7 linked regions of the Xenopus tropicalis genome follow. The main gene of each other region encodes a partner of the protein of the gene in region 5 in a complex. Links are inferred from orthologs where the notes say so. Each region holds a gene or a part of one and is shown on either strand. Other genes may lie near its edges.

Region 1 (3,081 bases), about 67 Mb from region 5:
AACATATTACACTGACATTTTTGGTATATACTCAAAGGGGTTCACCTGATAAATTTGACCAGGTTTAGCAATGCTGGTTGGACTCTTTGGACTTTGGGGACATCATTATCTTATCACTGTATATTACAGCAATAATATTCTTCTTTATGTAACTCTACCTACAGCACCTGATCTGGGAACTAGCACTTCTATTTTAGTGTCACCCGCTGTGACCTACAGCACTTATATTTGCCTATTTGTGTCTGTAAGTTACCCTTCCATATAGATTGTAAGCTCTACGGGGCAGAGGCCTCCATCCTCTTGTGTCGTTGACTCTTAACTTATTGCAACTGTATCTTGTATTTATTGTTATACTTTGTATTTATCTATTATTATCCTAATAATCCCGTTGGTATTACTGTATTCTACTGTACAGCGATGCGTACATAAGTAGCGATTTATAAATAAAGATATACATACATACATACATGATTGCATCCATAAACAAAAAAAGGCTATGTATCATGCTGACCCACCTACTCTCTTTCCTTTCCACTTACCTAACACTCAATCTATTGTTTATTTTAGTAATTGAATTGCTTTTGGTACAGACATACTAATTTGTCTGCGCTCAGCAAATCAAAGACATTTTCAAAACTGTTTTAAGATCAATCTCTTGTATTAGGTGTATGCATAATATACTTACCAGCCAATCTTATTTTACTACCAAATTGCATACTTAATTAATACTGCAGAAACAAAAGCACATTTACTGCTTTTCATCTATACATTTGGCTTATATTCTAAAATAGCAATAAGTGTGTAAACATTACGTGTATTGTGCACAAAACTAAGCAAAACAAACAAAAAAATACCCTTCATATTTTCAAAAATCTTTTATTATGAAACACCTCATGAGGGACAGTATCTGTGTCCTCAAATCAGGGTATTAAATGAAAAGATATATATTATATCAGGGTATGAAATGAAAGATATATATCCCTATTCAAGGATCCTTATAAGGTTCAAACATTGCATGTCAAGACTCAAATTAAAGTTGCCCATATGGACTCTTAACTTTTCCTGTAATCAACAATACAGAGCAGCCAACTTTAATAAAATTTCAATATCAACATCCTTTTCAAGCTCTGGTAAATGGAGTCACTAATGTCCAGTTAAATATTCTGTAGTTTTTCATTCAGAATCTCAGGGTTGGCTACTCTATTTCTTACGCCTCAGCTTAGGTTTTTTCACAGGTCGTAGATAGGGATTATCTATAAGTGTTTCCTCTCCACCCTTCATTGAATTCTGCTGTAAAACAGATGAATTTTCTTTCTCCATGCCCACCTCGTCCTTGGGAGTTAAAAATAAAATAGGAAGTTAAGCAATAAAATATCAAAATATACCAGGGAAAGGGCACTGGGATGAATTAAGGTCAACAAAAGGGTGAAGCATTCTAAAGCATGTAGTGGATGGCTGAGCAGAAAACAGGTTGAGGAAAGAATGAATAAAGTAGTTAAAGGAGACATATAGCATAAGTGTAACCCCCCCTAAGCTTGGTGACAATAATGAATAATATATTTTTCACTCAGGGGAAAAAAATGCTCATTATCTTTTAAAAGATAATTTATCGGAGCTCTCTCTATATATATATATATATCTGCTCAATTAAGGGGTGGGCATGTTCTAATGGTTCCTGCCATAAGCAGGATGGGGGTGGGGTAGCAAATCACAGCCCTCTAGTCACAGTAGCAAAGACAGGCTTTAGTTCCCTATCAGGTCTACCTAGCTTCTAATTCTTATTATACAGTGCAGTGTGCTAAGTGCCAACAGTTCCTCTGTACAGCCTGGGAAAGGAGTCAGCAGGAAGTGAAAGAGATGAGTGGGACTAGTAGGGATCTGCATTACATTTTTAATAAATCAGCCAAAGCATATCTTTTTTAATGCAGATTCCTTCTATGTTTTTACACAATATGTCTCCTTTAAATAAGGACTACAACAGTATCCAAACATTGTATCCAAGGCTATTGTGATACTAAAATCTATAGTTAGTATTGATGTTGGTTTATGTATGTGAGTGTATATGGTCAGTATATGGTATGTGGTCAGTATAGATTTGTGTGTGCTGGGTTTACTTGGAAGGGTTGAAATTGATGGACTCTGGTCTTTTTTCAACCCTATGGAACTATGAGTAAATTAAGTTAGATAAACAAACATAGGAAACATAACAGTAAAATATAAAGGCAAAGCAGTAAGTTGCATGCGGAATGATAAATATAGGACATAACAAACTCAAGTTTCTCTCCATATACCCCTTGCAGATGCATAGACAGGTTCTCTGCGTCAGTCTGATCATCTTGCTCTGAGGAATCAGTCTCCTCTACTTGCTGCAATTCTAGTTCTGATGGGAGGAGGGCATTCAGATAAGGTATTGAGAGTGGACGTGCTGCAATCACTGGCAAACGAAAAAAAAAAAGCCTCAGTTTTAAATTTAACAAAAACAATATTCTGGATGAGGTACAATAAATCACAGAGGGAGAAAAGAAAAACATATCAGTAAGGAACAAAAGAATGTTCCTGACAAAGTAAGGTAAAATAATATATCTGACTGGGAAGCCAATTAAACATCATATGGAAAATAGGTCTTCCATAATATCTAATAGGAAAAATATTAGTAACAAGCTTAAGTGTATCTTTAAAGACAATATAATATAGCATTACAATATATGCTGGCTTTTTAAAAATAACAGATATACAGTCATATGAAAAGGTTTGGGAACCCCTCTTAATTATTTGGAGTTTTGTTTATCATTAGCTGAGCTTTCAAAGTATCAACATCCTTTTAATATTTAACATGTCTTCTGGAAACGGTAGTATTGGATTAACAGAAAATATGCATCATAACCTGCATATGAAGTTCAAGGCTTAACAAGCTGATTCAACCAATTTGGTGTTGCCAGTAATCAGTATTGAGCAGTTACATGCATTCAAATTATCAGAATTACAGGGGTACCCACATTTTTGCACAGCCAGTTTTTCACATTTGATTTAATTTCATACAACTAAATACTGCTTCACTAAAAATATTTGTTCAGAAAACAC
Region 2 (4,746 bases), about 170 Mb from region 5:
GGTCTCTCTACCCCCACCCCCAAAATCATTATCCAATCGGCTCCCTACATACTTACCCCCCAGCCCTGACTATGGAGCAGCAATGTGAGGGCACATTCATTTCTATTGGGTGCAGCCCATACCTAGATGTGTATAGGAGATCTAGGAGCTCTCTCACTGGCTGCTTGTAACATTGGGCGGAACAAAGGGGCACCTTGGGCACAATAGCCCCACTGAAGGGCATTTGCTGGCGGGGTACCTTGCTTTTGCTGCGAGAGCTCCCGGAGGCCGTCCCCTTCATCTTACAGTGCTGCAAGGCGTCATTTGCAATGTCAGAGATGAACTTCTGAGATGCCAAGGAGATCAGCCGGATTCTAGGAGAGACAAGCGGTGGGGTCAGCGGATCACTACAGAGATCGAGAGGATCCGGTGTGAAATTCAAAATAAGCGAAGTCAATACAGATGCTGTGCTGAACTCATAGTAATCACCATACAGGCCTGATTGGATAACTGCAGTAAGACTAATGAAAGCAACTCTGATTGGTTGCTAGGGTTAAAGGAAAAGTAACACTAAACATTTTTAACTAAAAAAATCTATTCTACCCTCCCCCAATAATTGCCCTATCCTGAAATCCATTTGTTATTGTGAATGCATCAACTATGCGGTGATCGACTGATCTAGCCCCTGACTTCTGTATATAGGAATGAGTCAGGCTAGGCTCGATCAGTCGATCACCGCATAGTTGATGCATTCACAATAACAAATGGATTTCAGGATAGGGCAATTATTGGGGGAGGGCAGAATAGATTTTTTAGTTAAAAATGTTTAGTGTTACTTTTCCTTTAAGGGCCGATTCGGGTCCTTCAGACCAATTCAGCAGCTTATCTGCCCGTGTATGGGCACCCCCCGACGGGCCTACCCAACCGATATCTGCCATTGCGATGGTTTGGCCCTAGCCCGGTATTGCCCACTGTAGGTGGAGAAGATCCGCTCATTTGGCAATCTCACCAAACGAGTCTCCACCAATTACATTACAGTTCCTAGAAAGCAAGATAAACAATAATAAAGAGGGATAATACATATAACGGAATGGCAGCACCAGAACGGGCACTTTAACCCCTATTTAGGCCTCCAGTTGCTGTGGCCATAAGCGTGACTGTCAGCTCTCCTGGTAGGCACAGAGCAAACGGCTACTGGCCACGGCGGCCCATAACCTAGCGCTACAGGCTGGCCAGAATAAGGGAAGGTTCTTCCTAGTCGAGGCAACTGCTACAGGGCTCTGAGAAGCTCCGGTACCCACGGGCCAATAACGTATGGCAGCAGGAGTTGTACTTACATGCGTGGGTCGGATGCTTCAAACCCGGCCCGGTTCAGGTAATATCCAGTGACGGCATCTGGGATCTGCAGGAAATCGGGAGAAGGAATGTAAAGCAAATGTTGGAACAGATACAAGCAATGATACAGGGAAACAATATGGCAGCTCCCACCAACAGATATACATACATACAGAGAAATGATGTTCTGTAGGCACAAGCTGCACCCTGACACTGTGTAAGGTGGGGCAAATGCCTGGCACTGCCCCCCCCCAGTACCCTAGGGCACAGCATTTCCCATACAGACCCAAGGGACACTTACCGTAGGGGTATAGTCCTCCAGCTGCATCAGGAAATCCACCAGGGGGGTAGTGGAAATGACAGGTTTGACATCGCCATTTGCCACCCCCGGGGGCAGGTACACGCCATTAGAGAGGGATCCCTCGGAGGGGGCAGCAGCCGCTGATGCAGGGACTGGAGGATCAATAACAGAACATACATTGGAATTGGAAAGGACTGGGCAATAGTCACACAGCCGGGCACTTACCTGCGCCCAATTCTCCAAATACCCCCCCACCCTATCTGTCCCCAAACTGTACTCCCCATTGTACAACCCAGTGGGCACCATTTGCCCCGAAACAGGTCCATTCACCCAGCTCCTTCCATACGTTCCCCTTCTCACCCCCGGCACCACTCCTACCCCCTGCCCTAGCAAAGGGCAATTCTCAGCTATGACAGCCCCCTCCTCTCTAGCTGCCCCCCGGGACCCCTTTCATCTCCAGCTGCCCCCCGGGGCCCCCCTCTCATCTCCAGCTGCCCCCCGGGGCCCCCCTCTCATCTCCAGCTGCCCCCCGGGGCCCCCCTCTCATCTCCAGCTGCCCCCCGGGGCCCCTCTCATCTCCAGCTGCCCCCCCGGCCCCTCTCATCTCCAGCTGCCCCCCGGGGCCCCCTCTCATCTCCAGCTGCCCCCCCCCGGGCCCCTCTTTGCTCCAGCTGCCCCCCCCGGGCCCCTCTCATCTCCAGCTGCCCCCCCGGCCCCTCTCTGCTCCAGCTGCCCCCCGGGGCCCCCTCTCATCTCCAGCTGCCCCCCCCGGTGCCCCTCTCTGCTCCAGCTGCCCCCCCCGGGGCCCCTCTCTGCTCCAGCTGCCCCCCCGGGCCCCTCTCTGCTCCAGCTGCCCCCCCGGCCCCTCTCTGCTCCAGCTGCCCCCCCCGGGCCCCTCTCTGCTCCAGCTGCCCCCCCGGCCCCTCTCTGCTCCAGCTGCCCCCCCCGGCCCCTCTCTGCTCCAGCTGCCCCCCCCGGGCCCCTCTCTGCTCCAGCTGCCCCCCCGGGCCCCTCTCTGCTCCAGCTGCCCCCCCGGCCCCTCTCTGCTCCAGCTGCCCCCCCCGGGCCCCTCTCTGCTCCAGCTGCCCCCCCGGCTCTCCCTTTCCCCTCCATGCTTGGGTTTCTCTCCCCAGGCCTTTCCTGGAGTCCCAGTCCCCTGTGAGTACCCCCCCCTCCCTCTCCGGTTCAGTTGCTGCCGCTCACCGCTGGCTCTTCGCTCCCCCGTGTCCCTCCCGGGTAGAGCAGCTGCAGAGGCCGCGGCAGGCCCGGGTTTGGGAATGTTTGCCGGGCTGGGCTTACTCTCTGGGGCCGGACCGGGCTGGACTGAGGCAATAGCAGATAGAGAGTCTGGCGCTGTCTCCGTCCCGCTCATCTTCACCCTTGGACAGGAACTTCCGTCAACACCCGGAAACAGCTCCTCCACTTAATCTCCTCCCCAAAACAACGGGCAGTGCCTTTACGCCATCTTCCTGCAAGGCGTGTCCCAGCGCCCCCTACCGGCCAATGCGGCAGCTACACAGCTCAGGAGAAACATAACCTTACGTAGAAAGCCCATTGGCTACCTGCCAGGGCGCGGCCATTTACTGGCTTAAAATGTTGCCAATCAAAGCGGTGATAGCAAAGCTGCGTTAGGATTTGAACAAAGCCAGACTGTGATTGGATGTCGCTTGGTTACGTGCTGAGGCACGCTAGAGTGCCGCCATGTTGCTACACACGGAAATGAGCTTAGCGAAGTGCATGGGAGTCAGACTGACAGTGAGGCGCGACACCAACTCCTTCTTCTGAGCGTGAAAAGCGCCACAGGCAACCAAACCGGGGCTGTTAGGAGCCGGCGGGCTGGACTTTACCCTGGGGCAGGGGCTGCTTGAGGCCAGTATTTGGGTGTAGCAATATGGCGGAGTTCGCAGACCGAAAACGGACTGGGAAACCACAAGAGTGAAAACCGGATCCAAATTGCTCCGACATTGATTCACTGAGCAAGTGGGTGAGTGTCCGCCTCCCGGGAGCTGGGACTTTCTTTTTATTGATCCACCCCCCCCCCCCCCGCCTCCACTCAGGCAGCCATTATGGGGGTCTCTTTACACTCACTGTCAGTAACTAACCCACTCACTGTCAGTAACTAACCCACTCACTGTCAGTAACTAACCCACTCACTGTCAGTAACTAACCCACTCACTGTCAGTAACTAACCCACTCACTGTCAGTAACTAACCCACTCACTGTCAGTAACTAACCCACTCACTGTCAGTAACTAACCCACTCGCCGTCAGTAACTAACCCACTCACTGTCAGTAACTAACCCACTCACTGTCAGTAACTAATACACTCGCCGTCAGTAACTAACCCACTCACTGTCAGTAACTAACCCACTCACTGTCAGTAACTAACCCACTCACTGTCAGTAACTAACCCACTCACTGTCAGTAACTAACCCACTCACTGTCAGTAACTAACCCACTCGCCGTCAGTAACTAACCCACTCACTGTCAGTAACTAACCCACTCACTGTCAGTAACTAATACACTCGCCGTCAGTAACTAATACACTCGCCGTCAGTAACTATACACTCGCCGTCAGTAACTAACACACTCGCCGTCAGTAACTAACACACTCGCCGTCAGTAACTATACACTCGCCGTCAGTAACTAACACACTCGCCGTCAGTAACTAATACACTCGCCGTCAGTAACTAATACACTCGCCGTCAGTAACTAATACACTCGCCGTCAGTAACTAACACACTCGCCGTCAGTAACTATAACACTCGCCGTCAGTAACTAACACACTCGCCGTCAGTAACTAACGACACTCGCCGTCAGTAACTATACACTCGCCGTCAGTAACTAACACACTCGCCGTCAGTAACTAATACACTCGCCGTCAGTAACTAATACACTCGCCGTCAGTAACTAACACACTCGCCGTCAGTAACTAAGACACTCGCCGTCAGTAACTAAGACACTCGCCGTCAGTAACTAACACACTCGCCGTGAGTAACTAATACACTCGCCGTCAGTAACTAACACTCGCCCTAACACTCGCCGTCAGTAACTAACACACTCGCCCTAACACACTCGCCGTCAGTAACTAACACACTCGCCGTCAGTAACTAACACACTCGCCGTCAGTAA
Region 3 (4,734 bases), on a different chromosome or scaffold from region 5:
CCAGAGATCTCGCAGGCAACTTCTCTCTCAATGAACTGCTCTCATAATAAATAAAAATGTGCACTTACCGGGCGGAAGCTGGAAATTCTGAACGCTCGCCGGGTTCTGCTGAGGCTGTGGCACGCGCGGGGCAAGCATAGGGGGAGTGATTGTAGCCCTGATACCACCGGCCAGGGCCGTAGGAGTCCTTGGCAAGTTGGGAGGCACGGCGCTGACTGTAGCTTTGCCCATTCCTGTAGGGGCACCGGGGGCAGACACAGCTCCTCCAGGACCAGGGTGCCCAGCTTGCATAGTCTGTCCTAACACCATATTGCCAGGGTTAGGCTGGCTCTGCTGAGGGGGCTGGATAATAGTTTTAGGGGATTCCGACTTGATCACCGGACTGGGCTGATTGTTCATTTGCAGCGAGACCCCGGCAGGGGCGGACAGAGGGGAATTGATCACAGTATTGCTCCCGTTCTGAGTGGCGGGCACGCCCTGGTGCAACAGAGGTCTCACCAATGCCACGCTGGTGGGTACGCCCGCCATGCCAGCTTGCTGCCCAGCTGCTCCCGCAGTGGATGTGGATGAGGAGGAGATGACTGAGGATGCCACGTTAGTAGTCCCAAGGAAAGAAGTCTGGATAACGGTGTTAGCTCCTGGGTTCACTCCACCCTTAGCGACAGGAGCCGGTCCGTTGTTTACCAGGCCGACAGCGGCATTGCTGTTCCCCTGGTAGGGGGTTCCGTGACCCCCAGGTCCGTGTGAATTAATCACAACATTACTCCCATTCATGGTCTGTAGGGTGGCATTTTTGCCATTACCTGAACTGTGGTTGGGCAGAGTGGAAGCCATGTTGCCCAGAACCCCAGATTTGGCCTGGCTAAGAGCTCCTGGTGCTTCGGGTATAGCAGACTGAGTCCCGTCAGGCTGTGCTGTGGTCTGTGGGCGGCTGTTAATGACACCTCCTTGTACTCCGGGTACAGCGGCTCCTGTGGGAGAAAAAGGACATTTTTTTTTAAACAGCAGGGAAAGAAACAGAGCTATGGGGTATACACCCGCCGGAATATACAGATAGCCACCCCTGTGCACCCACTCTGGTCCAGCACTTGGTTCCACCAGCAAACGCCCACTGGACCCCTCAGAAGCGGCATTAGGCAACCCCACAACCCAACATGCCACCCAGAAATCCAAACCATTCCAAGAGAACCCAATGATGCCCCCAGGAAGATTTACCCCCCCCCCCCCCCTTGTAAGTGAGCGGCATATAGACGGTGCCCTCAGTGCCAGCTCCCCAAGTACACGGGGAACATACCCCACATAAGGCAATTTCACCCACACCCCCCCAAATGACCATATAGTGCCTCTTGCCCCCCAAGTCCATTTATTAAGGCTCATTATAGCCCCCAGAAAATCCCAGGTATCTAAGTATCTACAACAAGGCCATCAGTAGCGCCAAAAGTTCATGTGGACCCCCAAATCTTCTCCTGGGGCACAAACTGCCCCCTAATGATCCACACAGCACTCATCTCCCCACAGTCACCCCCAAAACCCTAAAATGCCACAAATCTCTAGTCTGTTGCCACCAACAGCTCCATTAGTCCATGTGAGACTGGCCAGAAGGCTGCCCAGGGCCCAGTATACCCCCCAAATGCCCCCAGGCTGCCCGGTTACCCCAGGAAACTGCCGGGTACCCCAAATATCCAGTCGCCAGCCACCAACAGCTCTACGAGTCCATGTGAGACTGGCCAGAAGGCTGCCCAGGGCCCAGTATACCCCCAAATGCCCCCAGGCTGCCCGGTTACCCCAGGAAACTGCCGGGTACCCCAAATATCCAGTCGCCAGCCATCAGCAGCTCTATGAGTCCATGTGAGACTGGCCAGAAGGCTGCCCAGGGCCCAGTATACCCCCAAATGCCCCCAGGCTGCCCGGTTACCCCAGGAAACTGCTGGGTACCCCAAATATCCAGTCGCCAGCCATCAGCAGCTCTATGAGTCCATGTGAGACTGGCCAGAAGGCTGCCCAGGGCCCAGTATACCCCCCAAATGCCCCCAGGCTGCCCGGTTACCCCAGGAAACTGCTGGGTACCCCAAATATCCAGTCGCCAGCCATCAGCAGCTCTATGAGTCCATGTGAGACTGGCCAGAAGGCTGCCCAGGGCCCAGTATACCCCCAAATGCCCCCAGGCTGCCCGGTTACCCCAGGAAACTGCCGGATACCCCAAATATCCAGTCGCCAGCCATCAGCAGCTCCAGGAGTCCATGTGAGACTGGCCAGAAGGCTGCCCAGGGCCCAGTATACCCCCAAATGCCCCCAGGCTGCCCGGTTACCCCAGGAAACTGCTGGGTACCCCAAATATCCAGTCGCCAGCCATCAGCAGCTCTATGAGTCCATGTGAGACTGGCCAGAAGGCTGCCCAGGGCCCAGTATACCCCCCAAATGCCCCCAGGCTGCCCGGTTACCCCAGGAAACTGCCGGATACCCCAAATATCCAGTCGCCAGCCATCAGCAGCTCCAGGAGTCCATGTGTACCCCCAATTCTATTTCCTATGGGCCAATGTGCCCCCCCAAAGCCCTTGGCCCCCCTCCAAGTCACTCCACAGGCGCCAAGTAGTACAAGTATCCAGTTTTCCAAGAGCAGCAACTCCAGAAGTCCATGTGGGGCCCCCAGAGCGTTTCCCGGGGCCCATCACACCCAGCAGAGCCCCTGAAGGCCCCCAGTCAGCCCGCCGGCCGCCAAAACATTCCCGCGGCCCCCCTGCCCGCTCAGCTCGGCGCCCCCAGGCCTCACCCGTCTTAGGCACCTCCGGGGAGAGCCCTATCTTGGCTTCAGGCTGTCCCCCCGCACTGGCTGCCCCTACCCCCGGGCTGGTGACATGGTTAGCCAGGGCCTGGCTGCGGGCCTCGGCGGGGGGTTGCTGCTGGTGGTGGTGGTGATGATGGTGCTGGTGGGCCGCGGCGGCCAGCTGAGACTCCAGGGATCCCACCAGCTCGCTGACCACTTTATCGTCCACGTCCGTGTTGAAGAAAACCTCATCCAGTAGATCCGAACCCGCCGCCATCTTTACTCCGCCGCTCAACTCAGGAGGGCAGCAGCTCTGTGCGCCTGCGCGGCGGGGCAATTACGTCACACCGGAGCGGCGCTCCCATTGGCTGCTTCATGGCTACATAAGGAGCGGGCAAATGGCTGCGAGCGGTATTGGGAGGGCAGGAGGGGATCGAGCGGGGTCGGTGGAACGGGAGGGAGGCACAAAAATAGGGGGCGGTCGGGGAAGGGTCTGCGCGGGAAACCGGGTGGCGTGGCGACGCCTGAAGCGGAGAAAGTCGCCCCGCCACAGAAACGCGCGCTCTTTGTCTGCTCAATTCAAAATGGCTGCTGCGGGTGTCCCGCCGCCACTCCTGTCTGCCGCCCGCTGCGGGTTACCGGGAGGGAGGGGGCGTTCCTGTCACCGGGTGGGTGGGACACCTCATACAGGGCTCGGACAAACGCACTACTGCCGCTTGTGGGATCCGCTGTCTACCGACCGTGCCGCTTAGGCGGAGGGGCATGCTGGGAGTTGTAGTTTTACAACTAATGTGGTTCCCGTGACTATGGGCAGGGAGAAGCTTGTGTATCTGGGAAGGAGTGTAGGGGGGTGTAAATAAAGGGGTATGTGGGTGGATAAGAGGGGCATATGGGTAAATAAGTATATATATCCCTTGGGAACTGAATAGCTATCCCAGTAGAGTTGTTGGGGGTGTAATGGGGGTTATAGGGGGTGAATGATTACCCTAGGGCAGTGTTTGGAGGTATAAGAGCCAATAAGTACCCCAGTATAGTATCTGGGCAGGGGTATTGGGGTTATTATGGTGATGGGGGAGTTAAAGCCAAATAGAAATTCTACTAGATTATTTATTTATTTATAAGAAGTGGTGTAATGGGGACTAAGTACTCAATGGGCCTTGGGAAATGGACATGGCCGGGGGTTAATGTGACTGCCCCATTGTGGGGTAACAAACTGGGCAACTAGAGAGGGTATGGGGCTGTATAAGGGATAGATACAATCTACATGGGGTGATGATTTTCCCTGCACAGTGTTTAGAGGGTTAATCCCCAATAAATGATAGGTTAGTGGATCTACAAGTCATGACTGGAAACTGGATCCCCAAAGGATCACTGGAGGGGGGGGGGGGGGTGATCAGGGGCCCTGCAGGTTTTGTCCAATGAGAAGAATTCTGTCCCTTAAGGTTCTGGAATGGGTTCTGTTAGGGAGTAGGCTCTGATTCTGTATCCTCCCTCTATCGGATTTCTCCTCAATACTTTATAGAGTGCCTGTATGGTACCCAGCACTTTACAGAAGAGCTTGCAATCAAAGGGAAACCCCAAGCAGTATTGGGGTCCCATGTTATTTTATGTACCAAAGAGTAAGAATGTGCCACTGGCCTCCTGTTGTGAGGCAGCGCTAAAACACAAAACGTTAACCTATTATATAATGGAAGACTGCTCCTGCTCAGCCATTGGCTAGGTGGTGCCGGTGCACTGTCCCTTTAATTCCCATCTGGATATATTATTTATACAGCACCACGAGTGCACACTGTGCGGTACAAAGCATAAGCATAATTGGCTTCTGTCAATATGAAGCCGTAGGGCATTTTCCACTAAACAGCATTATGAGTTGCGGTGTAGGTTTTTACCTCATTGGGGCTTTATCCATACAGTTGGGCATTTTCTAGAGAAAAGTATCTGGATAAAACTCTGAAGATGGCTGTGGATAA
Region 4 (4,191 bases), on a different chromosome or scaffold from region 5:
GATAACCCATCCTCATGCCACTTCTAGGCCAGCATAAAAATACTATGCCCAGTGGGTATGGCAGGACAAAATTACAAACAGGAAATCCTTTTCTCATCACACATTTACAGAATTAAGTGCCATACAATGCACCAGTGTGTTCTCCTGAATGACTTTTACAGATAGATAAGAATATTTAGGGCTGTGACAGACGAGATGATTAGTTGCGACTAATCTCCCCGAAATGCCATCCCACCGGCTAGAATGTAAATCGCAGGTGGGATGGCATACGCGGCATCTTTGAGAGGAAACTTCGGCGATGCTTATGCCATCCCACTGGCAATTTACATTCCAGCCAATGGGATAGTATTTCGAGGAGATTAGTTGCTCGCGACAAGGGAGATTTGTCACGTGGCAACTAATCTCCCCGTCTGTCACAGTGAAAGCAACTATTAGGTGAATAAGATACAACAAAGGCTTTTGTCTTACCTTAGGGTTATACTCTGCATTTCGCGCTCTAAGTGCAATTGTTTTCAGATCCAGTTTGCAGCCAAGATTTACAGTGGACACTATGTTCCTGAACAATGTAAAAGCAGTTATTACAAATCCAAATATTTTTGCTCACTGTATTTAAAGGTATTCAGTCATTAATTTTTATTGTGTACTTATATTTCTAAATTACTGTTTACATAGCAAATAATTTACCATTTAAAATTTTATTCTTAAACCAACAAAAGTAATTTTTTAGTTGTAGGCAGCCAGATCAGTGCATTGTGCCCGAGTCTGAGCTTTCAGAAGGAGCCAGAGCTACTGGACTTGAATTTTTTTTTTTTTTTTACTATTGAGTACTGTTCTGATATCTACTGGGAGCTGCTAGCTTGCTAACTTACATTGTTCTGCTGATCGCCTGCAGGGGGATGATGATATCACTCCTATCTGCAGCACAGTAGTAAAGTGTGACTGACCTTTATCAGAGCAAAAGTCACATGACTGTGGCACCCTGGGAAATGAACATGGCTAGCCCCATGGGAAATTTTTAAAAAGTATTACAAAAAAAAAATTTGCACTATTAGTACTTGTAAAAGTGCTAAACTATTTTAATTTCCCAATTCTTTACTTGTTCTATTTTTCACACATGTTGGACAGATATAGGACACATTAAAACTAGGATACTACTGTACATGCTAAATTACATATCAAGACAAGTCTTTCTCCCTCAATAAAGTTTCACTTTAAATATGACATCAATTCAGTCTCAAGAATGTGGTGTAAAAGTCTGAAATGAGGAAACCGTCTGCATCTGTTTCTAGACCTAATATATACACACACCCCTGGCCTGGTAGCTTTTAAATCTAATATGGACTCCTATATTTTTAAGAAATGTAGCTTTTTTTTTTTTTAAACAAATGTAACACTCACAGGGTAAACAAAGGTAATGCAGCACTGTTAAAATACTCATTAGTACCAAAGGTAAAACAAAGATAAGGTCTTTTAATTTTGACAGGCCACACTCAAATGTGGTATAACAAATAAAGTCATTACTGTCTAAAATTAAAATATGCCAGAATATGTTTCCATTTCCTGTATATCTAATATTTACCATTTGCAGAGTTGTATGCTCTATGGCACTACAGAAATGTACAGACAAACATAAGGATTTGTTGACAAGTGTGCAGATACAGATAATCTGACAAATGATATCTGCAAAATGTCCCCCAGGATGATGAGACTTACTGTAGCTGAGGAACAATTCCTGAACTTTCTGATGCAGGGGTAGCAGGAGTAATAGGGGTCATGGGAGTCATTGGGGAGGGGTATAAGGGTGTATTTCCTGGAAGAGGTGCTGTGGTAAGAGTCTGTGGGTGAAACAGTTGTGGGGTTTGGCCTGACCCCTGATTGCCTTGTTGTGATGTAGACTGCTGGGCCTGTTGTTGTTGTCTTTGCTGTTCTTCCAATATTGATAAACTGTTAGTTGTTTGTACAGGTTGAGGGGTCAGACCAGTTCCATAGGGCATCAACGGACTGAAAATGTTAATCCCTGGAGTCAGAGAACCCTACAGAAATAAAAGACAAAAAAAAAAAAAAAATTATAACAAATTTGCTCTCAAACCCACACACAAGTTGAATCACAAGTTAAAATGGGCTTAGTACATGGGGATTTCTTTAATGAAAATCTTATGGTATAGCCCTGCACATGGAGTAGGACAAGCTAAGGGCTCTTACACACAGGTGTTTTCACCCTGCAGTCTCCCGAATTGGATTTCTTCTCCTTTCCACCACAAGGAAGCATAGGATGAAATGCAGCTCTATATTCATTCACATGCATGAATGAGAACGGAACACATCTGTTTTGTGTTCAAGAGCCCTCAGGATGGCGTTCCTCCACCTATTACGACAAGCGCCCCAGCAAGAGAAACATTTGCATTGAAGCCAATATTGGCTGCTGACTTGCATTTCCCCCCTAAGTCAGTTGGAAGCATATTGGCCTGTGTCTCAAGTTTTTCTTCTATTTTTTCATTCTTCAGTATTGTATCTGTTGTCCAAATTAACCACACCCGGTATACCGTATACCCCCCAATTTAGAAAGTGCAAATGAAGTGAATATTACAATGCTTTTAAAGGCATTTTATTTTATGGAGGGGGAATTGTGGTAAAAGGGAAAAAAGGGTTCACACTTACCTGTGGTGATGCCAACCCCTGGAAAGGGGGTATACTGTTGTTTTGATCCATGTTGCGTTAATTGGAAATCCCACTAAGAATAAAACAAAGTGTGCTGTTCCTACAAATTAAAATAAACCATTCCAGCAGCAGACAAAAATCCTATAAAAAGAAGTTAAAAAAAAAAAAAAAAAAAAAACATTAAAACATAGCTTACATTCAGCAGTTAGCACCTGTATTGGTAAATGTGATAAGTTAACAGTAGGACAGAGGGCCATAACAACGAGCCAATGTGGTCCCCGATCCGTGTTGGGGGTGCCCATACACAGGCAGATAAGCTGCCAAATTGGTCTGAAGGAACTAAATTGGCAGCTAGAACCTGCAAGTGTATGACAACCTTATGTGACCATAGCAAGCAGTAAAGACAACACCATGAAGCTAATCTGCTATTAATCCTACTGTATAAATCAGTGACCCAACAACTAGATGACTGTTTAAAAGAACAAATAAAGTAAAAAAAAAAAAAAGATAAGATGTAGGGGATATTTATAATATTAGCAGCAGCAAATTGCTTGAAATGACAAAAAAAGGTATACTAAAATGGTGTAGTCAAATTATACACTTGCAGATGTCACAATGGGATTCCTTCAAGCAAAATTTGTAAAATGACCTGCGTGTGGTTTTAGTTTCTCCAAATCTCTTAAGGGCTCTGGCACACGGGGAGATTAGTCGCCACGACAAATCTCCCTGTTCGCGGGCGATTAATCTCCCCGAAATGCCATCCAACCGGCGAAAATGTCATTCGCTGGTGGGATGGCATACGTGGCGGCACGATTTCAGTGAAATAGCGGAAGTTTCCTCTCAAGGCAACTTCCGCGATTTCACTGAATCGCCGGTGGGATGGCATTTTGGGGAGATTAGTCTCCCGCGAACAAGGAGATTTGTCGCGGGTGACTAATCTCCCCGTGTGCCAGAGCCCTAAGAAGCTATAAAAACCATAAACGTATTCATTCAGATGTAATAATCAAGCCTTGTTATATCTAAATTCTGAGATTTTGTAGTACAATAATACAAATTTTGCTATATGTGCCCCTAAACCTTTTTCTCTGAGGAACCAATTAAACGCACAAATTAGTTTCACAACACAAGGTTGGTTTATGTACATAACTTAGTGCCTAATTTCCATTGTACTCAGTAAGATCATGCCTCAACAGTACAGGGAGCCGTAGGTTTATTGCTGAGTTTAGGCTGTAGCACTACAGAATGAGCTAGAAAATAGTAGAAACTATTAGACTAGATAAAATGGCTCCAAATCAAATTGGTCAGCTCAAGGCCAAAGAAGCAAATCTAAAATTTGCCCAGCTTTAAAGGAGAAGGAAAAGTAAAATGACTGGTAGTAGTAAATATTATTAGGCATCCTCAGGGATTCCAGCCACTTAGTTTACCTGCTTCAGCAACCCCACCCCCTTTCAGGCATAACCTGCCAGGCTTGGGCAAGGGCATGTGCACTACAGAACTCTCATATTTCTGTACCACTCATACCCACCCTAGACT
Region 5 (4,595 bases):
CCCATTACTTCTCGCTGTATTTAATGTATTCTGGATGCCACTACTTCTGCCCCCCACTGCATAATGTATTTAGGATCTGGAGTTAAAGGAAAAGTCAACCCAAAATAGCATTTGTTGCCTAATAAAAGAAAACCTAATTCTAAGCAACTTTGCAATATACATTCCTTATAAACTTGTAATGGTTTTTGCGTCATTTGCATATATAATTGCAAACACAAGGCAGCAGCCTGACAGACCTGACTCACCCAACCCCTGAAACAATGTAACACAAGGCAGCAGCCTGACAGACCTGACTCGCTGGGGGAGACTGACCCCTGGAACAGTGTAACACAAGGCAGCAGCCTGACAGACCTGACTCGCTGGGGGAGACTGACCCCTGAAACACTGTAACACAAGGCAGCAGCCTGACAGACCTGACTCGCTGGGGGAGACTGACCCCTGAAACAGTGTAACACAAGGCAGCAGCCTGACAGACCTGACTCGCTGGGGGAGACTGACCCCTGAAACACTGTAACACAAGGCAGCAGCCTGACAGACCTGAATCGCTGGGGGAGACTGACCCCTGAAACAGTGTAACACAAGGCAGCAGCCTGACAGACCTGACTCGCTGGGGGAGACTGACCCCTGAAACAGTGTAACACAAGGCAGCAGCCTGACAGACCTGACTCGCTGGGGGAGACTGACCCCTGAAACACTGTAACACAAGGCAGCAGCCTGACAGACCTGACTCGCTGGGGGGAGACCGACCCCTGAAACAGTGTAACACAAGGCAGCAGCCTGACAGACCTGACTCGCTGGGGGAGACTGACCCCTGAAACACTGTAACACAAGGCAGCAGCCTGACAGACCTGACTCGCTGGGGGGAGACCGACCCCTGAAACAGTGTAACACAAGGCTGCAGCCTGACAGACCTGACTCGCTGGGGGAGACCGACCCCTGAAACACTAACACAAGGCAACAGCCTGACAGACCTGACTCGCTGGAGGAGACTGACCTTTGCAACACTGTTTAAATAGTAACAACCAGGAGTTCAGCAAATGCTGCTTTTAATAGCAATTACATTTACACAACTTTCAAAGCACTGAAATTTAAATACATTCACATTGGAAAGTTGTTTAGAATTATGTTTTCATTTATTATGCAAAAAATTATTTCTGGTGTTTATAGAAGTTAATTGTACCATTATTTACAAGTGCACATTGTGTGTATATATATTATTTTTTTTTAGCTGGCAGAGGAATGCCTAGAACCACCCTAAACTACTGGGACGGTGTAGAGCCAGTTTTGCCTGTTCACTCCATGGGACATTAGCCGATTTAGTCACCCGCAATAGATCTCAGCTACCACAGGCAATAGTGATGTGCGGGTTGAGATTTTCTCAACCCACACCAGACCCTAACCACCTGCTCCCACCCCGAACCGGCTTCCTTCCTCTATTTATAGAGCCGCACCCGCCCTGCAATGACGCCACAAAAGGGTTGGGGCTTCTGGGTGCGCGCATATAAATAGAGAAGCTGGAAGAGAGCAGTGTACAGGTCCCCGGCGGGGAGGGCGAGCGGAAGAGCTCAGCCCAAACCCACCCGCAACCTGCAGGTGATGTGCCGAGTTCGGCCCAAACCCACCCAACACGCAGGTACCGGGCCAGTCCGCACATCACTAACTTGCAACTAACCACCCCAAAATGCTCTTCCACTAGCAACAAAGGCAATGGATTCGATCTCCCTAGGTGCATGAAGTTACCTGCAGGAGGAAACTCTGTGCGTAGGCCTTTCAACCAGCAATTCCCTTTGTTGTCGTTGGAAAGCCATTTCAGAGTGGTTAGTCGCCCACGGTAGCAGAGATCTATTGCGGGCGACTAATTTGCTCTGTGGGACATTACACTTTACCCATTCACTGAAATTCAGTACAGTTTTCCCATGACCGTATTCCTTTAATTCAGTGGTCCCCAACCAGTAGCTTGGGGGCAACATGTTGCTCCCAGTGGCCTCGAAGCAGCTGCTTATTTTTGAATTTCTGCTTAGGAGGCAGGTTTTGGCTGCATAAAAACCCAGTGTAAATGCCAAGCAGAGCCTTCTGTAGGTTTCCAGTCAACATAGGGCAGCCGTTCTCAACATGTGGGTCGGGACCCCTTTGGGGTGGAACAACGCTTTCACAGGGGTCACCTAATACCATCAGAAAACACATATTTCCCATGGTCTTAGGAATAATTCTATGGTTGGGGGTCACCGCAACATGAGGAACTGTATTAAAGGGTCACGGCATTAGGGAGGTTGAGAACCACTGATATAGGGGCTACCATATGGCCAATCATAGCTCTCATTGGCACCACCAGGAACTTTTTTCACGCTTGTGTTGTTCCCCAAAACGTTTTCCATTTGAACGTGGCTCGTGGGTATGAAAGCTTGCGGCTCCCTGCTTAAATACGCTTCTTTGTGATCCAAACAAGAACTTACACTCCTTGGAAAAGAGTCTCTTCCGCCTCCCCTGACCTCCTTCTGCCGATCCAGAGGCTTCTTCCGTCTCATCCTCAAACTGCAGGAGTAAAAGAACAATGGATGAGTGGAACCCAGTGCAAAGCTGAACCCGCTGTCTATTCCCTGGCAGCTTTGCCACCAACATCTATAGAGAAATTCATTGTGGCCCTCAGTACAGAAATAATGGCAATGGCAGCACAGCAATAACAGCTGGGGGACACAGGGCAACTGCCCCCCATTATGTACATATAGCAATGATGGCAGTAACTAGTTGCAGTTGGTCACTTTCATAAAGCCCGGAAATTCCTAGCTACAGACACACAAACCCGGATATTAGGGAGAACTGATCCTACTCCCCAGACTGTAACAGCTACCCGGTCTCTCTAACAGCAGCAGCCTGAGTACCTGGAACAAACCATTGGCACAGGGGTGATACTACGAATACAACTCCGAATCCTGACCCGCTAATGGCGCCCAGTGGGCCTGCCCATGAAACAGGACCAAGCCACCCGTGTATTCCCGCTCTATATCCCTTCTGCGCTCCTACCGTTTGATCCTCATCCTCGTCGGCCATGTCTGCTCCTCCCCGCACTGCCCCGCCAGTACAATTTCACCTCCACTCTACCACTTCCGGCGTGTAATAAAGCCAAGTTAAGGAACTTCCGGGTGTAACAAAATGGCGCCGCAGAATGTGCCACGCCCCCAAACGCCTCAGTTTTAGATTTTCGTAACGATGGAACAATAGAAACCCCGCTGAGGGCACATATAACCCCTGTAGTGCCCGCCCTGGGCTGTGTGTGGTAACTCCCACCCGCAAACGGCGCTCCTTGCAGCCACTCTAGTCGCTAAGTGACTTCCGTCATCAGCATCCGCGCTGATTGGTCCGTTAGACGCGCCAGGATTTGAATTCTACACCAGCCGGAGAAAGGGAAGATAGAGTCGGGGAGCGGCGGTATCGGTAATGCGTCATTTGCGGGGCGGGAGTGACACCAACGGGTTCAGAAACAGCTCCGAGTGCGCCTCTAAGGATGCTGGGAGTTGTAGTTTTGTTTAATAACAGTTGGGCATGTTTACTGTGTAGTTTCACGCACTGGGAGAGAAATAGTTCCCAGCTTCCCTGTACTGGGACTTTATACCCCCTGTAACACTGGCATTATTCTAGGGCCCTGTGCCTGTAACACTGGCATTATTGGCAGCATACAGGGGGCAGCCCTAGGGCCCTGTGTCTGTAACACTGGCATTATTGGCAGCATACAGGGGGCAGCCCTAGGGCCCTGTGCCTGTAACACTGGCATTATTGGCAGCATACAGGGGGCAGCCCTAGGGCCCTGTGCCTGTAACACTGGCATTATTGGCAGCATACAGGGGGCAGCCCTAGGGCCCTGTGCCTGTAACACTGGCATTATTGGCAGCATACAGGGGGCAGCCCTAGGGCCCTGTGCCTGTAACACTGGCATTATTGGCAGCATACAGGGGGCAGCCCTAGGGCCCCTGTGCCTCTGTAACACTGGCATTATTGGCAGCATACAGGGGGCAGCCCTAGGGCCCTGTGCCTGTACACTGGCATTATTGGCAGCATACAGGGGGCAGCCCAGGGCCCTGTGCCTGTAACCACTGGCATTAATTGGCAGCATACAGGGGGCAGCCCTAGGGCCCTGTGCCTGTAACACTGGCATTATTGGCAGCATACAGGGGGCAGCCCAGGGCCCTGTGCCTGTAACACTGGCATTATTGGCAGCATACAGGGGGCAGCCCTAGGGCCCTGTGCCTGTAAACACTGGCATTATTGGCAGCATACAGGGGGCAGCCCCAGGGCCCTGTGCCTGTCTGTAACACTGGCAATTATTGGCAGCATACAGGGGGCAGCCCTAGGGCCCTGTGCCTCTGTAACACTGGCATTATTGGCAGCATACAGGGGGCAGCCCTAGGGCCCTGTGCCTGTAACACTGGCATTATTGGCAGCATACAGGGGGCAGCCCTAGGGCCCTGTGCCTGCCTGTAACACTGGCATTATTGGCAGCATACAGGGGGCAGCCCTAGGGCCCTGTGCCTGTAACACTGGCATTATTGGCAGCATACAGGGGGAGCCCTAGGGCCCTGTGCCTGTAACACTGGCATTAT
Region 6 (3,954 bases), on a different chromosome or scaffold from region 5:
TATTACTTTCACTATAAAAAAAACAAAAAAAAAAAAAACTTGTGCTCCGCTATACTCTCACCAATCTGGTTAGTGCCTCCCTTTTGACCATCCTGTCCTGCCCTCTGCTCCTCCTCAGTCTCCATGATATTAAGATCTTCTTCTTCCTGGCGTTCTCCCTCCTCTTCTTCTCCATCACTGCTACTACTGATGTCATTAAAGATCTGACGCAATTCTTCCCTCTCCACTGCTGGAAAGAGAGAGACATGTTGGGAAAGACAAGTTAGAGCTTAAGATGGAGGGAATAAGAATAATTTAAAAAAGCTAATTAAGAACATAAGAATATAAGCTCATATTTAATGGATGTTTGCAGAGGAATGTGGAGCAAAATAAAAAAGTGTGAAGAGGACCATAAAAGGGCTGGGTTTAGTTAGAAGAAAATCTAGCAGCAGGCAGCAGGTCAGATTGTTCCAGCACTGAATATCAGTGTGAATTAAAGATGGAGTAAGGCAGAAGGGCTGTGAGACACTGCAAAAAGTAAAGAGCATTGGAGTTATTACAAGGAGACAAGGAAGATGGAATAAGTGAAACAAAGCATTAATGGAGGAAAACGGATTTAAAGGTAAGAGGGGAGGAAGAAGTGATTTCTGTCATTTCTCTTTACTGAATTATTATTAGAAAAAAATCAATACTGGCGTTTGTAATAGTTTCATGACAGAACATGATCAATTCCCTGTGAATCCTTTCTTGGAATCAGAGATCTTTGGGGGGAGATGGATGCATGAAGAAAAGACACAAGATAAAAAACTCTGCAAACACTAAAGAAGCTTGGAATATCCTTTCCGATGAAATGTTCACTTCCATAGGCAGTCAGCTGCCTATGTATCATAGCAAGGGCAGCATGATACCACATATATTAAGAATCAAAGTATCCTCAGCTTCCCATGATAGGGTACATTGGTTTGCACAAGACCTAAAAGAGATTTACATTTATAAGCTGAAAAAAAATGTTATTTTTGGTAAGGACAAACTACCTGAAGAACCACGACCCTGTTTGATCCCAGACATCCCTGGGGAAACATCCAACCCAGTCAGATTCTCAGCTTCTTTTGATTCATCCTCAGCTATCACTTCCCATCCTAATGGTGGCAAGTCAAGGAAAGGATAAGATTCTCAAATATAAAGATATAAGTTTAAATCCAGAACAAAAAATGTTTCTCTCATCACAAAGCGATCACCATATGTTTTCTCCTGGGTAGCTGTTTATAAAAGGATACGCACACTAACTGCCTCAGCATCTGTGCTCAGAAGCCGTTTCACCTCCTTCTCCACATCTGGGGACTCAATATACTAAAAAGAAAAAACAAAGCTTAGGGGTTATCAAGAAGTATCAAGAAAAATGGAAGATGATGAATATGTAGGGAAGGAAGAAGAAACAGCACATCACACATTACGATATGCAACCCAAAGAGAAAGTGGTTCCCTCAATGCACCATGATATAACTACAGAATTACCTTCTTCTTTGCAGTTTTCCTGAACCGTCTCTTTCGCACATTCTTTAGAGGTGGTGTAACTGAAATAACATAAGGGGGGAAAAAATTGTGTGTGTCTTGTGTGCAGAGGAAGAGTGGTAGGAACAATTTCCCCCAAACTATGAAAGACAAACAGACTCACTTCCATGGTTCCAAATAAATTTCTTTTCTCTGTCCCTGTCCTTCTTCTTGCTGGCTTTTGGGTCACTAGTCCCAGTTGGCTCTTCAAGAGGTGGATAGAGGTCTCCATCAAGGGTACATACCAACATCTAGGAGAAAAAAAAAAAAGCAGACATTCATGCAACTACTGGAGTAATAAAAGAAATGGCCTGATTCACAGAATGTATTAATACGGAGGGTTACTTACTTGGAGCTACACAAAGACTACACATGTTGCCTCTTTTTGTTTCTCTGCAGTTACCCTATTCTAAATGCAGTAATGAGCATGTGACCTGTTTTCATTACTCATCTGGAGAAAGGGTACTTACTAGGCACTTTAAGGTAAAGGCAAAACAAAGCAGCAAATACCTGACAGATGTCGGCAGTCTTGTAGCAAGTCTTTTTGTCAATAGTTTTTAAACACTCCACTACACAGGGAATATCAACGAGTTTTGCAGCCAGTGGTACACGGTCAACACGTACAATTCCATGACGTCCATCAGCTGGGAACAGATCATAACTACATAGTAAGTTAAGATAAATAGAGGATTAAAGGAAAAAGAAAGGTAAAGTCACTTGGGGGTGCCAAAATGTTAGGCACCCCCAAGTGACTTTAACCGCCTACCTTTTACCCCAGGCTGGTGCCGCTGTCAGGAGAAAACAGCACCAGTCCGGGGTAGCTGTCGGCACTTCCTCCTTCCGGCTTCGCTGCGCGCGCATGCGCAGTAGAGTGAAAAGCCGAACTTAAACATTTAAGTCGGCTTTTTCGCTCTACTGTGCATGCCCGGCCACCGGCAGTTTAGGAAGCTGAAGGCGGAAGGAGGAAGTGCTGCGCTCCAGGTACCCCGGGCTGGTGCTATTTTCTCCGAACAGGGGCACCAGCCCGGGGTACAAGGTAAGCGGTTAAAGTCACTTGGGGGTGCCTAACATTTTGGCACCCCCAAGTGACTTTGCCTTTCCTTCTCCTTTAAGGGGCATGTTTACCAGGACTGTAGCAACCAATCAGATCTTTGCTTCTGATTTCTAACTTGTAGGCAAGTGTTTAAATCGAATTGCTAATTGATTGCAATCTACAGTCTTAGTAAACCATCATAAATTAGCAATCACTTCAAAGTTTAAAAACATGCAACAGGGTAAAGGCTCCTCCTGAGCCACTCTTTACATTTGTAATTATCAAGTGCAAATATGCTGCAGGGATTCCATTCCAGACCGATACTAACAATCTGTATTTCTTCTTTATTTTAATTATTTTCTATAATATACATAGGTATGTTGTAATCCAGTAATTGGACTGATTATAGTTAGACAGGATATATGTTTTTTTTATTTTCTCTAGACTGGCTAGAGCTCAAAAGATAACTAAAGCAATAGAGAATGTCCTCCATAAGTTAAATGCTTGTGCAATAGGGGTTGTGCTTGCCTCTTTTATTGGCTAGTGATAAGCAAGTTACTTGCTTTTCTCTTGCAGCTACAGTACACAGCTTAGAGACAGAGTTGTGTGACATTTGGATTAAAAAATCAAGGTAAAAACAAATCAGCAGTCCACTGAGAACCTCCCCCTTGCACCAGCTGCAGCCTGTTAGGCTGTGAGAAAAGAAGCAGCTACTCAGCGGACTGCTGATTTGCTTTTCAACTTGCTTTTAGGGACAGGAATTAGAATGAGACGTTACGTTCATTTTTAAATTTTGCCCTATTTAGTTAAAACAATCCCCCCCCACCCTCAATTTATATGGGAAAAATCTTGAATCTTTCACAGCCTCAGAAACTAGGCTGCTAAAATACTTACGATGCAACTCAACAGAAAGTCTGTCTTTTGTATTTACACTCCCAGACTGGACCATCCTCCTAACTGTTGAGGCATATTCCTAAATGAATAAAAAAAAAAAAAAAAAAAAAAAATAGAAGATGAGGAAAGAACCTGATCCAGTGACAGCTGTTAGTTAGTATTTAAAAATTCCCCTAATTCTTTTTGTGTTCCACCACTTGGGAAAGTGGCGACAGTCTGTCTGATGACTTGGTGGCTTCTGATAAGGGGGTTCCCAGGTTTATTGCTGACTCAACACGAGAGATTTTTTCATCCTACAGACCTTTGTCAAGTGCACACATACACCACTCAAGAGAGCACAGATTTACTGTGTGCCATCCCTAAACTTTCCAATGCATTTAATGTGGCACTAATGAAGCCTATTGTCAAATTAAGAGTTTAAGAAAAGTAATTTTAATCACAATCATCATTAAAAGTACCATGCAATCATTTAGGAGGAGCAATGGAAGCAGCTCTAC
Region 7 (4,011 bases), on a different chromosome or scaffold from region 5:
TAGGGGACCATAACGTTTGAGACAAATGAATTGCAGGTATATTAAACCAGTCATGTTTAGTATGTTGTTGTATTTCCCTTGCATGCAATGGCGATTCACATCACCAGCTGCTGAGTATTTTCTCTGGTGATGATCTGCCAAGCCTCTACTGCAGCCACCTTTAGCTCCTACTTGTTCCTTGTCCCTTTACGTTTCCTCTTCAGCATATGGAAGGCATGCTCAATTGGATTTAAATCAGGTGACTGGCTTGGCCATAAAAATGTTTTCATTTTTTAAGCTTTGAGAAGCTTCCCTGTTGCCTTAGCAGTTTGTTTGGGATCATTATCTTGTTGCCGGATGAAGCAATCTCCAGTCAGTTTGGAGGCATTTAATGGAACTTGAGCAGATAAGATGTTTCTATACACCTCCAAATTCAATGTGCAACTGCCATCAGCAGTTACATCATCAATGAAGACAAATGTGCCGGTACCTGTGGCAGCCATACATGCCCAAGCCATAACATCCCCAACACCATGTTTAACAGATGAGATGGTATGCTTTGGTTCTTTTTCTTAGTCCATTTTCGTCTCCACACTTTCCTCTTGCCATTACTCTGATACATATTAATCTTGGTCTCGTCTGTCCAGAATTCTGCAGGCTCTTTCAAGTACTTTTTTTGCAAACTGTAATCTGGGTATTTTTGTGGCTAACATCTTGCAGTGTAGCCTCTGTATTTCTGTTCATGAAATCTTCTGCGGATATTAGTCTGACAAAGACACACCTGCCTTCTGAACAGAGCTCACCAGTGCATACTTTTTTCTACGTGATAATCCAGACAGTTAATTTTGGCAATTCTAAGGTTTGACTGATGTCTCCAATGGTTTTATTCTTGTTTTTCCATCTTCATAGCTTCCTTGTCTTTTATTGACGTGGCTTTTCTCCTCATGTTGCTTAGGTACCTTATCCCTGCACTAATGCAGCAATGCAACACGCCTGAGTATCACAAACAGCTGAAGCCAGTTGTCCCAAACATTAAAGTCTGGAATGCGCACTTTAATCACGTCTTAATTGTTTGATTTAAAATTTTACACTGGCGGAGGGGTAAATCATAGAAAAATAGAAACATCTTGCAGAAATATGCAGCCTTTTCATAATTTTTAATGTAATAATATGGTTTGGAACAGTTACCTAAGACTGGCCCCCTGTTCTCCTGCTGATCTGGCTGACTACTTTGAAACTCAAAAAAAAAATAAAAATGCAGCAGCAGTCGACTATTCTGAGCCCGCGTTCAGCCTGCATCCTTCAAATCCCACAGCTCCCTGTTTTTTTCTAATATTATTATGGAGTGCCTTCTTTTCTTCTAATTCCCTGAACATGTGATGTCATAGTAACATCACAGGGTAATAATACACTGTGGGTTATGTAGTTCGTGCAAGTTGTTGCAATTTTAGTCCCTCCTCCCCTGCCAAAATTTCAAATGATGCAGAAAAAGAACTGTTTTGTCGCTGGATTTTAGCATATCAAAATCCACGCACCAAATCCACTATTTTGGGATCTGGCAAACCCTTCATAAAAGATTCGGCTGAATACCAAACTGAATCCGAACATACACATCCGAATCCGAACATTGGGCCACAGAGGGGCTAAAGAGGACTGTAATCATTTTTTAACTTCCTTGGTTACGTGACAAAAAGTCACAGGATTTAAAGGATTCACATTCGGTTCAACCAAGCATGAATTGAATTCTGGATTCGGTGCATCCCTAAAAAATGGTATTTATTCATACTTTTTGAATGAACAGATCGCAGTGATAGTTAACTTAGGGGTTTCTGTGATGTGTGGGGCCATTTAACAAATGTTGGTTTGGAAGCCGGACTCTAACTTCCTTTTATTATAGTTCCTTTTTCAACACAACAAAAAAAGGTACAATCCCTGAGGGGGGTGCCACGTTGTTAGGTGGCACTTTACCCCTGCAGGATGCCTGTCCATGCAGCCCGTATATTTAGAGGTTAGAAATTTTCTTTGCCACTTTGCACAATGTTCTGGCTACAGACACTTTGATGAATGTATTTCCTAAAGGCAAATATTCTTCTAAGCTATGGTTTTTTATCATATTTATAATTTTCAATAACTGCTGATTGGCAAAATGGAAGCACAGTAGGAGATGGATAGCCAATCACAGCCCTGCATTCACACAAAGGCAGGTTTCAGGTCAGGTCCCACCTAGCTTCTGATTGGTTCCTATTCTACAGTGCAGTGTGCTGCTACCTGCTCTGCACAGCCTGGGAAAGTAGTTAGCAACAAGTAGACCAGATGGGGGGGACTAGAAGGGCTTTTGGAGAAATTCTTAATAGTTCAACCCGAAACACATCTTTTCAGCACATTTCTTCTATACAAAGAGGAGTATGCATGGGCACATTGTTTTAATACTATATGCCCCCTTTAAAGAAAACAATAAAAAAAAAGTAAGTGGTAGAATAAAAGATCTTACCAGTGGTACCAGTCATCACATAGATCACAACCAATCATTGGGCTGCCATCATCTGCTTTGTTACATCCGGGACAGATCCAAATCTGGTTGCCCCACTCATCTCGGATCTAAAATAGATACTGAGTTGTTAATGGCGCACTCCTTACAGTATGGAGGAGGAAAATACCATCTAGTTTAATGCCTTCTGGAATTACTTTAGATTGACTGTACATAATCACAGGTCATGTATATGTATGTATGTATGTATGTATGTATGTATGTATGTGTGTACTCCTAGCAATGCTAGGTGTTACATTAGCATTTTAAAATTAATTATTCACTCTACAAGCATATTTTATATTGTATAACTGTAAAGGCTGGACACCACATATTTCCTGCTCTGTAACAGGAAATGACATTGCACGTGGTGTTATGGCCAAAATGCCCTGATTTATAAATTGGTAATGCAGATGGCAGAGACCATAAAGTCTGCCAGTTAAAGTACAAAGTAGAAGTAATTGGGATAAGATAAATGGAAGAACATAACTTAAAAGGGCAGAAGAGGTGAAGGATACCTCTCTGGACAAAGAAAGTGCTATGAGTATATTTATGTTGAAGTCCTTCCACCTAAAGCAGGGATATATCAGACCCATCAGCATGAAGCAGCAAAATTGGTTGTCTAAGGGCTGTGGCACACGGGGAGATTAGTCGCAGGGCGACTAATCTCCCGAAAAGCCGTCCCACCGGCTAAAATGTAAAGTGCCTGTGGGATAGCATACGCGGCACAGCGATTTGCCGAAATCACCAAAGTGATTTGCTGTGCTGCGTATGCCACCCCACCAGCGATTTACATTTTAGCCAGTGGGATGGCATGTCAGGGAGATTAGTCGCCCGGTGACTAATCTCCCCGTATGCCACAGCCCTTAACTGAACTAAGAATTTTGAGGCTTGGAAGCGATCCTTTAATTTAACTTATGTTTAGATCTCACAGCTCTTTAGCAAAGTAAATATATTAATTCAGGATTGTTCTGTACATGTACAAATCGTTGCATTCCTACTTTATAGTTCGGCATTACAAGCAGAGAACAAGATAAGTATGCTTTGTGCTGGCACTATAGGAAACTGTTCCTTATTAGCATTTTTACTTATTAGCCAAATGGTTCTATTCAATTTGCTGATAAGATCAGGGATATAAAAAGTTGTTACTCAGTAACTTTCCGTTTACTTTATGACATCTAACAATTTGAATTAAAGGATAAGTGAAATTTAACAGGAAAAGCAGCAATTTTGAAACTCAAAAGTTCATGAACTACTAACATCGTTGCTTAAAAAAAAAAACACACAGAAATATTACAAGGAAATTCTCTGAGTAAAGCAGCAGGGGGTCCAAACCATTTAACATTTTTCTGATAAATGTTATACTGTACATTAAACAGCCATGGGTCATATATAACCACCGGCAAATGAAGGGGGTCTTTAGAATAAAGTCAATGAAGTCATCATATTCTTTTCCTGTGTTTTCAAAGGACTTTATAAAGGCTATACCACATGGGGTGGTTAAT

Evidence for each region.
Region 1: taf13 (region 5) and taf8 share a complex: the UniProt entries of both Homo sapiens proteins name them as parts of the TFIID basal transcription factor complex. The link is inferred for Xenopus tropicalis from reciprocal best matches to the Homo sapiens genes TAF13 and TAF8.
Region 2: taf13 (region 5) and taf10 share a complex: the UniProt entries of both Homo sapiens proteins name them as parts of the TFIID basal transcription factor complex. The link is inferred for Xenopus tropicalis from reciprocal best matches to the Homo sapiens genes TAF13 and TAF10.
Region 3: taf13 (region 5) and taf4 share a complex: the UniProt entries of both Homo sapiens proteins name them as parts of the TFIID basal transcription factor complex. The link is inferred for Xenopus tropicalis from reciprocal best matches to the Homo sapiens genes TAF13 and TAF4.
Region 4: taf13 (region 5) and tbp share a complex: the UniProt entries of both Homo sapiens proteins name them as parts of the TFIID basal transcription factor complex. The link is inferred for Xenopus tropicalis from reciprocal best matches to the Homo sapiens genes TAF13 and TBP.
Region 6: taf13 (region 5) and taf7 share a complex: the UniProt entries of both Homo sapiens proteins name them as parts of the TFIID basal transcription factor complex. The link is inferred for Xenopus tropicalis from reciprocal best matches to the Homo sapiens genes TAF13 and TAF7.
Region 7: taf13 (region 5) and taf3 share a complex: the UniProt entries of both Homo sapiens proteins name them as parts of the TFIID basal transcription factor complex. The link is inferred for Xenopus tropicalis from reciprocal best matches to the Homo sapiens genes TAF13 and TAF3.

Annotation. Positions count from the first base shown.
Region 1 is NC_030678.2:70,726,224-70,729,304, forward strand, and holds the end of taf8 (transcription initiation factor TFIID subunit 8), read right to left. Parts: intron 2,435-3,081; coding exon 2,292-2,434; intron 1,333-2,291; coding exon 1,201-1,332; 3' UTR 861-1,200; downstream 1-860. UniProt on the Homo sapiens protein: The TFIID basal transcription factor complex plays a major role in the initiation of RNA polymerase II (Pol II)-dependent transcription.
Region 2 is NC_030678.2:177,470,177-177,474,922, forward strand, and holds the start of taf10 (transcription initiation factor TFIID subunit 10), read right to left. Parts: upstream 2,999-4,746; 5' UTR 2,988-2,998; coding exon 2,819-2,987; intron 1,768-2,818; coding exon 1,616-1,767; intron 1,382-1,615; coding exon 1,317-1,381; intron 387-1,316; coding exon of another isoform or gene 354-386; coding exon 239-353; intron 1-238. UniProt on the Homo sapiens protein: The TFIID basal transcription factor complex plays a major role in the initiation of RNA polymerase II (Pol II)-dependent transcription.
Region 3 is NC_030686.2:4,389,554-4,394,287, forward strand, and holds the start of taf4 (transcription initiation factor TFIID subunit 4), read right to left. Parts: upstream 3,056-4,734; 5' UTR 3,042-3,055; coding exon 2,771-3,041; intron 972-2,770; coding exon 69-971; intron 1-68. UniProt on the Homo sapiens protein: The TFIID basal transcription factor complex plays a major role in the initiation of RNA polymerase II (Pol II)-dependent transcription.
Region 4 is NC_030681.2:50,706,290-50,710,480, reverse strand, and holds the start of tbp (TATA-box-binding protein), read right to left. Parts: upstream 2,801-4,191; 5' UTR 2,710-2,800; coding exon 2,659-2,709; intron 2,034-2,658; coding exon 1,714-2,033; intron 557-1,713; coding exon 469-556; intron 1-468. UniProt on the Homo sapiens protein: The TFIID basal transcription factor complex plays a major role in the initiation of RNA polymerase II (Pol II)-dependent transcription.
Region 5 is NC_030678.2:3,373,657-3,378,251, reverse strand, and holds the start of taf13 (transcription initiation factor TFIID subunit 13), read right to left. Parts: upstream 3,054-4,595; 5' UTR 3,049-3,053; coding exon 3,022-3,048; intron 2,533-3,021; coding exon 2,454-2,532; intron 1-2,453. UniProt on the Homo sapiens protein: The TFIID basal transcription factor complex plays a major role in the initiation of RNA polymerase II (Pol II)-dependent transcription.
Region 6 is NC_030684.2:37,696,443-37,700,396, reverse strand, and holds part of taf7 (transcription initiation factor TFIID subunit 7-like), read right to left. Parts: intron 3,537-3,954; coding exon 3,458-3,536; intron 2,175-3,457; coding exon 2,041-2,174; intron 1,782-2,040; coding exon 1,655-1,781; intron 1,554-1,654; coding exon 1,495-1,553; intron 1,330-1,494; coding exon 1,257-1,329; intron 1,119-1,256; coding exon 1,014-1,118; intron 230-1,013; coding exon 62-229; intron 1-61. UniProt on the Homo sapiens protein: The TFIID basal transcription factor complex plays a major role in the initiation of RNA polymerase II (Pol II)-dependent transcription.
Region 7 is NC_030679.2:83,684,571-83,688,581, forward strand, and holds part of taf3 (transcription initiation factor TFIID subunit 3), read right to left. Parts: intron 2,578-4,011; coding exon 2,471-2,577; intron 1-2,470. UniProt on the Homo sapiens protein: The TFIID basal transcription factor complex plays a major role in the initiation of RNA polymerase II (Pol II)-dependent transcription.